Macaca mulatta: one gene and its partner. The protein of the gene in region 1 purifies or fractionates together with the protein of each later gene. This does not show direct contact. Links are inferred from orthologs where the notes say so. Each region holds a gene or a part of one and is shown on either strand. Other genes may lie near its edges.

Region 1 (4,242 bases):
CTTCAGGTCCTCCAGCATGCCCAGATGGCGCAGGTACGCTTGCTCTTTCTCGGGGGCCTCTGCTTCTGCGCCCCGGTCAGGCACCTCCGCCGCCTCCAGGCCCTTCTTTTTGCGCAGCGCCTCGAAGATCTTGTGCTGCAGGTACAGGTTGTAGCGCTGGGAGCGGTTCCGCTCCATCAGCAGGGAACGGTACTGGTCCAGGAGGTCGCTGCGCAGCTGCTGCTCCTGTAGCTTCTGGACCTCCTCGGACCACTCCAGGTCCTCAAACTCGTCCCTTCCACCGAGGGGCTTCCCCTCTTCCTGGCTTTTGGCCGGGCGTCCTTCCCCAGCCCTCCCCTCGCTCTCCGCGCCGTCTCTCCGTGTCTCCTCCTCGTCGTCCTCCTCCCCCTCCACCCGCTCTGTCTCGGCCTCCGGGGCTGCAGCAGCCTCTTCCTCGCCGATCCTGGTCAGCGGCAGAGAGGCCTGGGACCGGACTTCCTTGCCCTCCGCCGCCTGCTCCAGCTCCTCCGCCCTCGCCTCCGCATCTAGTTCCTCGGGCCCGGCTCCGGACTTCGGCTGGACGGGCTCCTCAGCCCCGGCCTCGGCCGGCTCTTCGGGTTCGGGCTGGGGCTTGGCCGGCCTCCCCGGCTCTCCAGGCCCCTCCTCGCCCGCAGCCTCGGCTGCCGTTAGCTCTTTCGGGGTCTTGGCCTGCTCGTCCGCGGCTGTGCCTCCCTGCGAAGCCTCCTCTTCCTCCTCCTCCTCCTCCTCCTCCTCCTCCTCTGGCTCCGACTCCAGCTCCCCGGGTTCGGGAGGGGTCGGAGGGCCAGAGCTGGCCTTGATCTTGGACGGCCGCGCGGCCAGGCTTTCCCCGTCTCCGCCTTCCCCGCCGGGGTCCTTAGTGTGCTCAGACCCGCCCTCCATCTCCGCCCGGCTCTGCCAGCGCAGCGGACCCCGGCAGCGTGCTGTTAGGTTTCCCGGGGCAACCGAGGGCGCGCGCGCTGGGCCCGGCGATTGGCCAGGCGACAGGCCGTCGTCCAGCCTCTTCTCCCCGGAGAGCAAGCCAATGGGAGGCCGCGAGCTGGCGATAGGCGAGATTGATTGGAAGCGGCCGTGGGCTCTCGCCGCGAGGGGCGTGGCGTCCCCGCCGGGCTTTCTGCCTGCCCATTTCCCACCGCTGGGCCTGGGGCGGGGCGTTCAGGAGGCTCTGGGAAAGGCGGCTGCGGCCGGCGCGGGGTGCGCGCAGGCGCAGAGCGGTGGGCCGGGCGTCCGCAAGGTGGCGCCCGCGGGGCGCCTGCGCGATGCGGCGGGGCGACAGCGGCCGCGGCGGCGGCTGCCGGGCCGGGCCGGACGGCGCCTGCGTACTGAGGCGGGACGCGGCCCGGCTGGCTGGCTCCGGCGGCTGCTGGGCTGGGGCCGCGGTGGCGGCAGCCGCGGCGACGGGCGGCGGTTGCTTGTGCGCGGCGGCGGCGGCGGGTCCCGCGGGCGGCGGGGCGCTGACGGCCGGGGGCGCGGCGGCTGCGGCGGGCCGGGCGGCGGGCGGCGAGCGGGGGAAGATGGCGGAGCTGGGGAAGAAGTACTGCGTGTACTGCTTGGCCGAGGTGAGCCCGCTGCGCTTCCGCTGCACCGAGTGCCAGGACATCGAGCTGTGCCCCGAGTGCTTTTCGGCCGGCGCCGAGATCGGCCACCACCGCCGCTACCACGGCTACCAGCTGGTGGACGGCGGGCGCTTCACGCTCTGGGGGCCCGAGGCCGAGGGCGGCTGGACCAGTCGCGAGGAGCAGCTGCTGCTGGACGCCATCGAGCAGTTCGGCTTCGGAAACTGGGTGAGCAGCGCGACAGGGGCCGGGTCCCGGCTAGGGCACAGGAAGGCCCGCGCCTCTCATGTATCGGGCGCGCAGGCAGCACTGGACCTGCTCGCTCCGCTCGGCACCCCGGAAGGCCCCGGAGGTGGGGAGGGCGACGCTGCCGGTTTATAGTCGGGCACCTGTCGGAACCTATGCTCAGAGAGGCTGTGACGCCCCCAAGGTCACCTAGCCGAGACGGGGCCAAGTGGGGCTTTGAACGCTGGTTTCTGACAGCAGAGCCATTTCCCTCACCTTCAGGGACACCTTCACAGGCGTTTGCGGAGTGCAGACGTTGGGCGAGACGCGGTGCCTTACCTGAGTTCGTGGAGTCAGGCAGGCCCACAGACTCGACAGAAAGCGGTGGGAGCACCAGGGAGGGAGAACGGTGGGCGCCCTGCGGCTTGTCTCGGGGTCTCTGGGGCGGCCCCGTTTGCTTTCTGTCATTGTATGCATGTGCCCTGTGTGGTGTGCCAGTGCACAGATTCTTTGTGGGTAGCGTGCCTGGTTAATGCTTGGGTCTCCACAACCCACGACATTGTGCGAGTGGTCAGTAAAGAATGAACAAAGAGGCCTGGCCTGGGAGGCCTGGGGCTTGGGTTTTGCTCTCTTTACGTTTGAGGTTTTTGTAGAGACAGCTCTGTGTGGGGAGCGGTGAGAGCTGGACTGGATCCACTTACGCTAGCAACATCGTGTGCTAGGTTCTGTCCTTGAGAGAGGAACATGGTTGTTCTCTCTGGGCGGTTTCTCAGCTCTCCTTTCATTCTGGAAGCTTGCATCCGTGTTAGAAAGGAGAAAATCTCTAGCCGTATTCCCACTCATAACCACCAAAGGCATGTGGCCATCCCCAGGCACCCTGAGAAGGAGGGGAGTGAGACACCCCAGCGCCCTTAGCTTTGCAGAGTCTTCCCCTGCTACACCAGGTGCCTGCTTCTCGGAACAGCGTCCATCTGCTGCCACGTCTCCAGCAGTCCTGCCTGGGCTGCTTTGATTGCCTTTTGCTTTCCTTTCCTGAAAGAGTCTCAGGACCGCCTCATATACCCATTCTGAAGCCCTGGAATCTTGATTCTCCTCCCAGCTCCTTAGAGAAGATGGTCCTTTACAAATCCTTACCTAATGGCCACCAGCATTGGGATCGCCATTTTTCAGAAACTCTGGCCCATCTTGTCCTTCCATGCTGTTTGTGGATATGCACTGAGCTTGTGTTCCGTGCAGATTCTACAGTGGCGGAGGACTCTGAAGGAAAGAGAAGCCTTTATCCCTCCATTCAGGGAGCTTAAAGTGTGGTACTGACTTGGTCCTGGGCCCAGAGCTCCTCCTTAGCAACAGCCATCCATGTCCAGCCACCTCCCTGTCCTATCTGCCTCTCAGTGTCCTCTTGACTTACTCCTTAGTTCCTTGTTCCACTAAGTTCCTGATCCAGTTTATCAGCTGTCTCCTCACAGTACATCCAGAACAAACTACTTCTTACAGCCGTAGTCCCGGCTGATAATTTACTTCTTGCCTTGACCACTTTGGGAGCCTCCTTGTTCGTTATTCCCCCTGCACCCTATTCCCCCATTCCACACACCATAACCAGAGCGAGCTTTGGAAGCACAGAGCGCCTCACACCGGCCTCAGTGGCTTTTACTTCAGTTAAGGCTGCCTTAGAAGTGTTGAGCAATGAGATCTCATCTGTTACCTCCCTTGATCATTTTATATTTCTTCTACCTAGAGTGCTCTCCCCCAAAATCATGGCCCAGGATCGATCTTTCCACTTACATATCAGTGCCTCAAAGGGCTCTTCCCTTCACCATCCCAGCAATTATCTCTATGTTAGCAGCTAAGGAGGCGCAGAGCCTTGCTGGCATATCTGTGCGTATCTCAGGACATTTTCCCGACAGCCCTTGGCAGTTGGCTTTGGATGGACCAGTTTGACTTCAGAGCCTGTACTCTTTTTTTTTTTTTTTTTTTTTTTTTTTTTTGAGACGGAGTCTCGCTCTGTCGCCCAGGCTGGAGTGCAGTGGCCAGATCTCAGCTCACTGCAAGCTCCGCCTCCCGGGTTTACGCCATTCTCCTGCCTCAGCCTCCGGAGTAGCTGGGACCACAGGCGCCGCCACCTTGCCCGGCTAATTTTTTGTGTTTTTAGTAGAGACGGGGTTTCGCCGTGTTAGCCAGGATGGTCTCGATCTCCTGACCTTGTGATCCGCCCGTCTCGGCCTCCCAAAGTGCTGGGATTACAGGCTTGAGCCACCGCGCCCGGCCAGAGCCTGTACTCTTAACTACACTGTCTGCACTGCCTTCCCTGCGGCACTGTGGAAAATACACAGAACACAATACCTGGGGAACAAAAACATTTATTTGGTTTTGGAAGAAACCAGGCTAGAAGTGGAGAGGCCTGTCTTCTAAAACAATACTTTCCGAACTAATGTGCACACAGACC
Region 2 (3,324 bases), on another chromosome or scaffold:
CTGCACCTCGTACCTCTTAAATATCTTTATCAGTCCACAAGTCCTTCCAATGATATTTCCCAAGTATATCTAGAACTTATCCACTTATATCCCCACTGCTACTATATTAGTTTAGGGCTACATTCTCTTGAAAAGTACAGCGTCCTTACTTCCGGCCAATCCCCAAATCATCTTCCAGAGTAAAATGCAAATCCCATCAGGCCACTTGGATGAAAACCCTTCAAGGATTACTGGATAGAGTTCAGGCTTTTTATTTTCTTCCCCCAATCATAGCTCACAAACCTTCGTTGCTATTTGTTCCTAAGTAACAAATCATTTTTCCTCCTCCCTCCCCAAACCCCAAGGAACTCTCACTCTTGCTCAAGCTGTTCTGTCCCCTTAATACCACCCCTGATACAAACTGCCTGGTTAATTTCCAGAATTCTTACAAGATTCAGCTCAGAAGTCACCTTCTCTCGTGAATGTTTTGATTCCCTGAGGCTACTTCATTTTGCTATGGCTGAAAAATCCTAGATTTTCTAAACAAAACCTGTTTGAATCTTGGTTCTGATATGGACTGGGAGAGAGACTGGGTCAAGCAAGTTTATCTCCCTGAGGCTGTTTCCTCGTCTGTTAAGTGGGAATATTACCTGCCTTTCCTAATCACCAGGGAATAAAGTGGAATAATGTTGATAAGAGTACTTGGCACCTGGAAGTAGGTGGCAGATGTTAATGCCCTTCCTCCCTTGCACTGCGACCCCTGTGTCTACCTCTAGTATTGTAACGACCACATAGTATTGAAATAGCCACTTTACTTGTCTGGCTTCCTTTCCAAGACCGTTGGTGCCTAAAGGACTAGAATCGTGTTCTATTTAACTTTGTATTCCCAGGTCCTAGCTCAGGAGTTGGCAAATAAGAATTAAATATCTGCTACATTGAAAATCTCACGCCTTTCACTCGTTGTGATTTTTGCATACGTTGTCGACTTAGGCTGAAACCCCTCCTCCTTCTACAGCAGCACTGTGGGCCGCCCCACTGCTGCCCCCACCTCTCGGGGCAGTTGGTGGAGAAGGGCGGGGGGCTTTCCAAATCCACTATGAATCCTTACAAGGCTGAATAAGGGAACTTGAAAGGATGCAGACAGGCAGGCAATCCGTAGTCGAGGGATGTAGGGCCCATAAACCTCGAAGCAAGGTCTTGAGCGTCAGACAGAATGAGGTGTCCCAGAGCGGCGGAAGAGTCCCGGACGCACGCTGCTTCTAGTCTCGACGGAATCGCCACCGAGCACCGCAGAGGCTAGGGCGGAATGGCGACGGCAGCGCAGTTCGCCAAGGCTTGGTCTCCGCCCTTCAGCCTATTTCCTCTAACCCGCAGACCCACTACCAGAGGAGGCGGGGAGCGGGCTGGAGAGCACTAACAGTGACAGGCGGGGCGAGTCGAGGGCGCGTGACGTCACCCCGGGGTGTGCGCGGCGCGAGCGGAAGCGGAAGCGGCTCTGTTCGCCGCCTCTCCCACCGGCCCGATGAGCTGCAGCGGCTCCGGCGCGGACCCCGAGGCGGCGCCGGCTTCCGCCGCCTCGGCCCCGGGCCCGGCACCCCCGGTCTCGGCTCCCGCAGCGCTGCCCGCCAGCACCGCTGCGGAGAACAAGGCCAGCCCCGCGGGGACAGCAGGGGGGCCTGGGGCTGGAGCAGCTGCTGGGGGCACGGGACCCTTGGCGGCGCGGGCCGGGGAGCCAGCTGAGCGGCGTGGGGCGGGTGAGGGCCTGACGGGTGAGGGCGAGGGAAGCGTCTGGGACTGGGCCCAGCGGCGGGTGAGGGCAGCGGGTATAGACAGACCTCGCTGGGGCCCTGCGCCTCCCACCTCTGTGTCTCATTTTGCTGGTTCTCCTCCAGCTCCGGTGTCGGCGGGTGGCGCGGCGCCCCCAGAAGGGGCCATGTCTAACGGGATTTACGTACTGCCGAGCGCGGCCAACGGAGACGTGAAGCCGGTGGTGTCCAGCACGCCGTTGGTGGACTTCTTGATGCAGCTGGAGGATTACACGCCTACGGTGGGCTTCCGCCCGAACAAGGCCACCTAGCCTGCTGTCACAACTTTCAGCCACATCTCCGTGCTTTTCAGCACCCTCTGATGTTTGCTTCCGTAGTCGCTCTTGTTTTTGCCCTCTGCTCACCCAAATCGTGAGCTTCCTGATAACCAGGTCTATCCGACATTTCCCTCACCCTCATCCCACTCTGCTGACAGTTCTCTTAATTGATTTCTTAGATCCCAGATGCAGTGACTGGTTACTACCTGAACCGTGCTGGCTTTGAGGCCTCAGACCCACGCATGTGAGTAAACCCAGGGCAGGTTAGTTTTGGGTGCTTGTGCAGTGTGTTGTCCATCTCCTTCTCATCTAAGTTTTTTCTCTCTAGAATTCGGCTCATCTCCCTAGCTGCCCAGAAATTCATCTCAGATATTGCCAATGATGCCCTACAGCACTGCAAAATGAAGGGCACAGCCTCCGGCAGCTCCCGGAGCAAGAGCAAGGTGTGAGGGGAGGCTCATTGAATCACTAATTACCTTCCACAACAGTGGAAGCTTATCCTGCCACCCCTTTGGGGAAACTGAATCCTAGGGGAGGTGTAAAACTTACTCAGGGTCACCCATCTGGGATTGAAGTGTGGGATTCCTGTGCTCAGTTGGTGCTCTTCCCTCTTCCCTCAGGACCGCAAGTATACTTTAACCATGGAGGACTTGACCCCTGCCCTCAGCGAGTATGGCATCAATGTGAAGAAGCCGCACTACTTCACCTGAGCCACCCAACCTAAATGTACTTGTCTGTCCCCATGTCCCCACACCAGCCTGTTTTCATAATAAACTTTATTGTGACAGGCGGGGCTGATCCCTCCCATGTTGGGAGACACCATGTGGCAAGTGACAAAGCTCTGAGCCCGCCCCTTTTGGGGCCACAGTGGTAGGGATGGGGGAAGGGGATGGACCCCATGGCTGGGGTAGTACCATGACTGGAGGCAGGGGAGGCAACCAGAGGTCTGCTGCTTTGGGGAGGTACATTCCCCCAACCATGTCCTGACACCTCTGGAGTTCAGGCAAGGGCCTTCCGGTCCTACTTGTCCTGCATCTTCTCCAGGATAGGCACAATCATGTCAAATTTGGGTCGCTTTGCAGGGTCTTCGTTCATGCAGATCTTCATGAGCTTACACACATGAGGGGAAATACCTGGTGGGATGGTAGGCCGAAGGCCTTCCAATGCCACCTGTGAATACAAGAAAAAACTGAGCCTCACAATTTGAGTCTGTCATGTAGAGAGAAGCCACTGGCCCCTGGGACAGGATAACTGTATATCCG

The links.
Region 2: the proteins of TADA2B (region 1) and TAF10 purify together in Homo sapiens (affinity purification with mass spectrometry; 4 studies listed by BioGRID and IntAct, counting the BioPlex papers as one, with this or other methods). This does not show direct contact. The link is inferred for Macaca mulatta from reciprocal best matches to the Homo sapiens genes TADA2B and TAF10.

What each region holds. Positions count from the first base shown.
Region 1 is NC_133410.1:5,991,381-5,995,622, reverse strand, and holds the start of TADA2B (transcriptional adapter 2-beta), read left to right. Parts: upstream 1-1,324; 5' UTR 1,325-1,532; coding exon 1,533-1,802; intron 1,803-4,242. Other genes in the region: CFAP184 (cilia- and flagella-associated protein 184), read right to left, coding at 1-900. UniProt on the Homo sapiens protein: Coactivates PAX5-dependent transcription together with either SMARCA4 or GCN5L2.
Region 2 is NC_133419.1:59,170,665-59,173,988, forward strand, and holds TAF10 (transcription initiation factor TFIID subunit 10), read left to right. Parts: upstream 1-1,489; 5' UTR 1,490-1,501; coding exon 1,502-1,733; coding exon of another isoform or gene 1,734-1,748; intron 1,749-1,871; coding exon 1,872-2,026; intron 2,027-2,241; coding exon 2,242-2,306; intron 2,307-2,390; coding exon 2,391-2,505; intron 2,506-2,682; coding exon 2,683-2,772; 3' UTR 2,773-2,820; downstream 2,821-3,324. Other genes in the region: scaffold protein ILK, read right to left, coding at 3,083-3,232. UniProt on the Homo sapiens protein: The TFIID basal transcription factor complex plays a major role in the initiation of RNA polymerase II (Pol II)-dependent transcription.